Linked DNA regions of Bombyx mori. The protein of the gene in region 1 purifies or fractionates together with the protein of each later gene. This does not show direct contact. Links are inferred from orthologs where the notes say so. Each region holds a gene or a part of one and is shown on either strand. Other genes may lie near its edges.

Region 1 (4,416 bases):
ATAAAGCCAAAAAATTTTTTTTTCCATTTGAACGGTATGCTCCAAATGAGCATCGGACGTAAGCTACTTCTTTTTCGTCGCTTTCTTCAGTACTGAAGGTCATGTCCTTGAAACTTGACCGTAGCCTGTCTCGTGAGTTGTTTCTACTTCGACCGGTCCTCAGCTTCTCGTAGGGCGGTTGCAACTGGCAGTCCAGTTAGGGTGGTTATTTGATCACACCAGCGGCTAGGTGATGTAAAGAAACTATATTTCTTTCAAATGTACTATCATTTGCACAGCGCTCTATAGCTCCTGTGCACTTATATAGATGGCGCTGTCGACAATGGTGACATGCGTTGTTAATGAAGGGAATGACATCTTCCATGTTCGGGCATATTGTTATAAATTAAATTAGATCATTATTTTAGGGAATTGAGAGTGGTGGACTTTAATATCGTTTCTGTGTTTTCAGGCGAGATACCTATAATGTGAATGTACTGTTAATTTCTGTTGTGTATGTTATTAAGTTGTAATTGTAAGTTATTAAAATAATAAAATCGCTGTTTTCAGAGCAACACCATATTTGTTTCAACTACAATTCCATTTATAATTCATAGTAAATTAAATAGAAAAGTCTTATAGTCTTTATAAATCATAGAGATGCACCGTAGATGAATGAATAATTCTAGAAAATGAAAGAAATCAACTTTTCATGATCAGTTCAAATTTTTTTTTATTGTTTACATGTGTGGACCAGCTCACAGGCCACCTGGTGCTAAGTGGTCACTGGAGCCCATAGACATCCACAACGTAAATGCGCCACCCAACTTGAGATATAAGCTCTAAGGTCTCAAGTATAGTTACAACGGCTGCCCCACCCTTCAAACCGAAACGCACTACTGCTTCACAGCAGAAATAGGCAGGGTGGTGGTACTTACCCGCGCGGACTCACAAGACGTCCTACCACCAGTAATTACGCAAATTATAATTTTGCGGGTTTGATTTTTACTACACGATGCTGTTCCTTCACCGTGGAGGTTAACCATGAACATTTGTCGAGTACGTATTACATTAGAAATTGTACCCGCCTGAGATTCGAACACCGGTGCATCGCTCAACACGAATGTATCGGACATCTTATCCTTTAGGCCACGACGCGGCGACGACTTCAAAACGGTTTTCACATTCATAGATAATATTAAATATTAAAAGAGTGGTAAAAAACGCTTTTGCCACCGAAAAAGTCTCAGTAAATGACCACCATTTTACTGAGATTATATTTCATCCTATATCATCTCATCTCAATTTGTTTTCATTTCGTTTCATAACATGTTTCATATTAATCAACTTCATTTCATTTCATAATATCCTTTTTCATTTAAAAAAAGTTTTCCTTAAAATTAAAATAAGACTTGACCTAAATATCCTAGTTACCAGGTCATTTAAAAAAAAACCGATAAATTTACGAAATGTCAAATTGCAAATTGCCATGTTTCTGTTTATTGTGGCCTAAATTTTTTGAAATTTAGTTAAATGATATGTTTATATAGATAATTTAAAACAATTTCAGCATTAATATGTACTTTAGATGTTTCTTATGCATGATTAAATAATGTGTTCGAGTGTAAAAATCGTGATATTTTGAAAAGTGCTGTTTGTTTACTACATTGATCCGCTAAGTTTGGATAAAGTATACTAATTATTATTGTTGGTATAAAAATCTTCTAAAAATTATTATTTACTTCAGTCGAACAACAAAGTGATGAGAACTTTCTTCTTATTGGTCGAAAGTAATATTAATATTAAAAAAGTAATACTCTATGAGTTCCGCTCCTGAAAACGATCACTCTACAAGTCTACAATATAAATTAAATGACAACATTACTTTGAAGTTGAGCATAACTACAAATCAGGTATGTTGAAAATATATTCTAATGTTGGGTTATTATTATTATTTTTTTCTTTATAATACGTTCACATTTTATTTTATTCAAATCACATCGTACAAATCTGTCATATTTTCTGAAGAGATAAAAAAAATCTGTAATTTAATTAGTCAATAAACAATAAAGCGTAATGTTACTATCATGCCTGTGAATTTTATTAGTGAATATCAATTTAGTGAAGAAGATGCGTGCATACATCACATGCAGATGTTGGGAAATGGTAGTGCAAGGTAGAGGAAGAGATAGACTGAAGAAAACATGGGTGGTGTATGTGAATGATGATATGAGAGAGAGGAGTGAGTGTTGAGCTGACGGCTGATAGAAGAGAATGGAAGAGAAAAATTAGCTGTGCTGATCCCACCTAGTGGGGTAAGGTGAAGAAAAAGAAAGAAAAAGGATTTACTGAAGTACACATTTTTGATGACTACTCAACTGTTTTTGATTCAATTCAAATTTGACTTTCGGTTTATTATTCTTAATTAATGACATAATATTTATTAGAAAGTTTATCTACTTGTTATTATGGTTAATTTCTAATATGAAAAAAGGATAGTACCTACCTATCTGTGCTCACTTACAATAAGCCATAATATTACCATCGCCGTACCAAGCCATAATATTACCGTAAGACAAAAAGAAATGGGTAGGTACCTATTTTATGAATATAATAATATATGTATTATTATAAACAGTGAAGCATTCATTGGAAACGAATTTCACTTTGATATAGGGGGAGTAAGGGGGTGAACGTAATTGCCATCGATACGGCCCCAAATGTCAACCTCACCTGCGCGACTGCGACGACTAGTAGTCGTGGTGCTCCCTGCTAGACAACGGACGAGGCAATGGCGACCGATCAGTGGCGGGATAACCATATCTCTAGCTGGACAACTAGCTGGATGAGGCTGCAGTGGCCTAGGGGGCTAAATCCCCCCTAAAATGTTTTGGGACGGAAAGGAATGGGAAGCTACCGTTACTATTTTTCACAAGAAAACCACCATGAGAAAAGTCAAAAGGAAGTTTAGTATGTCGAGCGCTCCGACTGACTCTCGGCGCTAGGACGAGTCCGGGTCTTCTGGTGTGAAGTTGGTTACCGGCTATGCGTACGGTCTGTGCGTCATCAGGCTGCTTATAGAAATTGGGTTACTGTTGACTCAAATACTAGTACCACAGGGCGGTTAGGCCATAAAAAATCCTTAATGTTGGCACCTGGAATATTCGCGGACTCTTGAGACCTGGGAAAATCGAAATATTTTGCAGAGAGATGGAAAGTTGTCACCTTGGTGTGATGGGCTTAAGTGAGACTCACCTTACCACAGATAAACCAGATTGACTATGTCATGATAGGAGAACGATGGAAATCATCTGTCCTGAATGTTAAGACGAGACCAGGTGCAGATTGTGGCAGTGACCACTCTCCGTCTCAAGTCAACCAAACAGCAGAAACCTAGGAAGGTGGTGGACATATCGTGTGGAGCACAGGATTTGTTTGCCAATGCCATTAAGGAGCGATTGCGTGATTTTGCCGTAGACTCCTTCGACTCTGTAAATCACCTGGGAACAGTTGAAACAGGTAACCTTGGTAATATAAATGCTGTCTGCGATGACATTCAAAGGGATTCTGAACGCATTCATTCTAAAGACATGTTCCGCAGAGTTAAACAGTTGGCCAAAGAGTACAAGCTGTAAACCTGGACGTTTGAGGACGAACGTGGATGTCTCATCATTGACAGGCAGGCTGCGCTAGATAGATGGAGGAAATACAGCCAATAGCTATATTGCGAAAAGGGCTGCGATGATATCGAAGAAAGGATGGACTGTAACCAACGTGGGCCAGATGTCCTTCTTTAAGAAGTTGAGGCAGCAATCAATAGGTTGAAGAAGAAAGCATGCGGGAGGGACAGCGTAACCGCTCTAATGTTAAAGAGCCTAGGCTCGGATGGTATCAAAGATTATACACTCCATTTGCAAGAAAGTATGGCGTATTGACCAGCGGCCTGAAGACTGGACGGAATCAATATTAATTCCCCTCCATAAAAAAGGCTCCACGCGCAAATGTGAGAACTACAGGACTATCTCCATAATCTCGCATGCCAGTAAAATTCTCCTATATATTGTCAATAAAAGACTGAGGAGTTTTATCAATAGGCAAATCGCAAAAGAGCATGTGGGTTTTATTAAGGGTCGAGGAACCAGAGAGCAGATCTTAAACATGAGATAGTTGATCGAAAAGGCAAGGGAGTTCAACGTCCCGATGGCTTTCTGCTTCATTGACTACGCCAAGGCTTGTGACTGCATCAACTGGAAGAAAATGTTCGACGTGATGCAAGAGATGGGAATACCGGACCACCTCGTCTCCCTTGTTCAGACTATATATGGATGGAATTACGAGAGTCAGAATGGACAATGAGTTTTCCCATCCATTTAAGCCCGAACGTGGAGTCAGACAGGGGTGTATTCTCTCCCCACAACTCTTCAACCTTATCAGTGA
Region 2 (4,270 bases), on another chromosome or scaffold:
ATGACATCATGCTCATCTATAAGGGGTCAGGTTTTCCAATGCCATTGACCAGGATAATTATAGGAATGAATGTTCACTACACATTTTATATTATATCATGCTCTATGTAGATTCTGCGAAACACTGCCCTTACTAGGGCTAGTGTTAGCAAATTCGTCAGGTTAGAGCCCCATGAGCTCACTTAGGTACTCATTTGGCGAATCTATTATAACCCCTCGAGGTTATTAGGATCTCAGTGCTGTTACTGAGATCTACTCAAAGTGAATGAATCACCTGAAGCAAAGCGGATTGCGAATTGTGAAGTATACTTTAAATGTTCTCATAATTAAATTGAGTTTTGATTGAGATTGAGTTTTGTTATACTTCAGTGAAAGTTTTTATTTATCCTGAGCCCTAGTGCTTATGCAAACAATGCTTATAAATACAATAATGTCATGGATGTCATTTGTATAAGTTGAAATTGTATGTTTTGGGAACAAGTTCTGGTTTACTGGTGGTCAGACATCTTGCGAGTCCACATGGGTAGGTACCACCACCCTGTCCTTTTTGTTCCAAACTTCCAGTTTACTGTTTTGTTTATAATACTTAGATAAACAATGGCGAATTTTATTACTTGTAGTGGTCAAGTAAATTTTACAAAGTGTAATAACTGAAATTCACAACAACACGCACTTATAAACAAAAAGCTAATGTCTATATATAAAAATGAATTGCTGTTCGTTATTCTCGCTAAAACTCGAGAACGGCTGGACCGATTTGGCTAACTTTGGTCTTGAATTATTTGTGGAAGTCCATAGGAGGTTAAAAAGGTTTCAAATAAATATGAAAATGCTCGGAATTAAATAAAAATATTATATATATATTATAATTTTGTTTTTCCTTTGATGTCCCCCCCATCGGACAGATTCCTTTTGTTTGTTTTAAGTTTATTTTATACAAAAGTTCAGGTCTTTTAGTTATCGATTGAGTTACTACGAAGTCTGCCGGGTCAGCTAGTTAACAATAATAATCGTTATCATTCGCTGGTACAAACAGCAGGATGATGTGGGAGTCCTGTGGAGTTGCGCCAAGTTGTGTGCGAGTACTTGCCTACTCACTACACGATGAATCGGTAATGCGTTACGGTTTGACGGGTGGGGCAGCCGTTGTACTGTAAAACTGAGACCTTAAAACTTATCTTTCAAGGTAGGTGGTGATATTTAGGTTCTAGATGTCCTTAGGGTTTTAGTAACTACTGAACATCAGGTGGGCCGTGAGCTTATCCAACTGTCTAAGCAGAAAAAATATGAATATATTTTTATTTTTATTGCTTAGATGGTGGACGAGCTCACAGCCCACCTGGTGTTAAGTGGTTACTGGAGCCCATAGACAATCTACAACGTAAATGCGCCACCCACCTTGAGATATAAGTTCTAAGATCTCAGTATAGTTACAACGGCTGATGTACCCTTTAGACCGAAACGCATTACTGCTTCACAGCAGAAATAGGCAGGGTGGTGGTACCTACCCGTGCGGACTAACAAGAGGTCCTATCACCAGTAATAAAAATGTTTAAAATATAAACTATATCGGCAAATAAATAGGTATTGGTCCGGGATCAACTGATCTCCTATCAATGTGAGCTCTGCCCCTTAGCATCTTTAGACTGTTTTCAGTCACCTTCGTGCAACTTCTCACCATCAGTCCTTCCAAATTCTTATTGTGCACAGCCAAAGCCCTGGAACACATGAATAATTCTTAAGTATGTTATTTGCATCTTGATCCATTATGGATTTATCACTACATAATATAAAACAAAGTCGCTTTCTCTGTCCCTATATCAGGTCCCTATGTATGCTTAAATCTTTAAAACTACGTAACGGATTTTGATGCGGTTTTCTTTAATAGATAAGAGTGATTGAAGAGGAAGGTTTATATGTATAATAACATTCATTAAATAGTGGAGAAATCAATAATAAATCACAGTTTCCGAAGCGAAGCTAGGGCAGGTCACTAGTTATTAATAAACGATTATTTACTTACTTGACACCTTTATCGGTAATATCACCACAGCCACCTAGATTAAGAAGTTTCAATTCAGTACTGTACTTGGATAAAGCGTACAAAATCTTATCTGTTACTTGTTTATTTCCTTCTAAGCTGAATGTTTTTAAATGTCTGAACTTTTTTATGAATATCAGTATACAGCTCTCCGTTATAGAGCTGCAGTATGAGAGGTCAACATCCTCAAGTTTCGACTGATGTAACGCGAGAGCCTCCACAGCACCGGTCGTGAGCCACGAGCATTTCGATAGCTTCAGAATTTGAAGTTTGTTACAGTACAATATCACAGGTTGTAAAGACTTGGCAGAGAGGCTGTTGCACTGACTGAGGTTTAGATTCGTAATGTTGGAATTTTGCAGTAGCATGGGGATGAGGTCTGCATCAGTAATAGTGTCGCATCGGCTCAGATTCAGCACGGTTAGTCTTCTGCATGTCGTTGCAAACACCTGCAATAATAATTTTAAAAGTCTCTCTACCAAGTTCCCTGCATATACGGTTCGACAGCAATACTGACCCTAAATGTGTGCGGTGAAAAGCCTTTATTCATTAATTTTAACGATTTTAACTTCGCAAAATACATGTTTATAATTTGCAAACATGTTTTCGAAACACATCGAAAACTTAAACACTCTCGTATAGTTAGATGCGGTAGCACTTTGGAGACTAATATATCTTCCCAGTATAAATCAAATAATTGAGTGTTTCTCTTCATTGTAATTTGTGTTTTACTTTATTTATCTCGATAACAGCTTTAATTTCGTTCATTTCTGTTTATTTGACGCTTTTGACATAATATTGAAGTTAGCTAGTTTTTGTTTGTTGATTCGTCTATTGTATAGCAAAGAAAACGAGACCCATACAGGTAAATCTCATCAAAGGCTGAAGCAATGTCAGATGTAGAAAACGTGAAACGTAACGGAAAAAAAAAGAACTTGAATGAATCTGAGTTAGCATAACGCTGAAGTTGTTAGTAGCAAGACGGGCGCACTGTTATATTGTGGGGCTAAGCTAATCGCTGGCACCCATTTCAGCTACCTACGCGTGGTGTTCAACACGAGTACATCGGTCTCATTCTTTAGGCCAGGAGTCACCAATTAGTTTACCTCGGGGTCTGTTTTAAGAATTGGAATGATCATTGCAGTCCGCATAATGTTTTATCGAAATAAGTATTTGTTAAACAAATGTAATTACTGAATTATCAAAGGTATTTTTTGCATTTCAATGAGAAAAATCAAATTTTTTACTGCGGACTATCTTACTGAACTTTGGATTATAATTAGTATAATAGCCGGCAAACTTCTTGAGCATTTGTTGACGTAGTGGGGGTAAGTTTGCGCATGGTACACTCACGTGCAAAAACATTATTTACTCTGCGTCATAATGCTATTAAATTATTAAAATCAACATATGTATTTATTTATATATTTATTAGAACATCAACAAAAAATATAGGTTAATAATTATAATAATTTAATCTTGGGGTAAAATAGATATTCCTTCTATTAAGTCAAAACTAGAGCTGTTGCCAGGTCTTCGTTCAGTTGAAGCGAAGCTGGTATTTGTAATTTTTTTTCGTTATCATAATCTTGACCATTATCATCATCACTGTTTTCATCACCCGAGTTGCCATCATCGTGATAAGTCGACATAGGGCTCATCGGTGTAATTTACGACTCGGTCGGTTCGATCTTCTTTTTTGTCTATAATTAATTATTTTTTGAAGATATTCGATTCGTAGTAATCGAATGTTACTTTTTTCAATTACCAGCTTCCGATTATTTTCTGTTTTTTTTTCCATCTGAAGCCTAGCTCTTTCATAATTCGTCGTAAACTTCATTCCGAGCCATTAAAATGTATATCTTCTTTAAAATTTTCGAAGCCTTTCTACGGTACGGAGTTTCGCTGCTTGTTATGTAGTTATTATGATTACATCTTTTTATTACAGATTGAACGAAACTATCCATTCCGGTAACTTTCTTCTTCCCTGATCTTTTCTTACCCGGAGTCCCAAGCACGATGAGCAAGCCAGAGCCTTTAGCTTCGTTAATAATGCACCTAACAGTACTCACTGATGTTTTTGTTGCTTCCGAAGTCTGTTTTACTTTTTCCATAATATCATTCTTCCCCTGTTTTATAATGAAGCAATATACGTCGTACACCATTTTTCTACCCTTTCTTTTGAATACTACACCAGTTTGTCGCGGCATAGTGTATTTTTTATAAAAAA

What was found.
Region 2: the proteins of cry1 (region 1) and F-box/LRR-repeat protein 15 purify together in Drosophila melanogaster (affinity purification with western blotting; 5 studies listed by BioGRID). This does not show direct contact. The link is inferred for Bombyx mori from reciprocal best matches to the Drosophila melanogaster genes cry and jet.

What each region holds. Positions count from the first base shown.
Region 1 is NC_085123.1:13,764,657-13,769,072, forward strand, and holds the start of cry1 (cryptochrome 1), read left to right. Parts: upstream 1-1,468; 5' UTR 1,469-1,892; intron 1,893-4,416. UniProt on the Drosophila melanogaster protein: Blue light-dependent regulator that is the input of the circadian feedback loop. Has no photolyase activity for cyclobutane pyrimidine dimers or 6-4 photoproducts.
Region 2 is NC_085109.1:1,691,096-1,695,365, forward strand, and holds the start of F-box/LRR-repeat protein 15, read right to left. Parts: upstream 2,858-4,270; 5' UTR 2,756-2,857; coding exon 2,558-2,755; intron 2,490-2,557; coding exon 2,023-2,489; intron 1,718-2,022; coding exon 1,564-1,717; 3' UTR 1-1,563.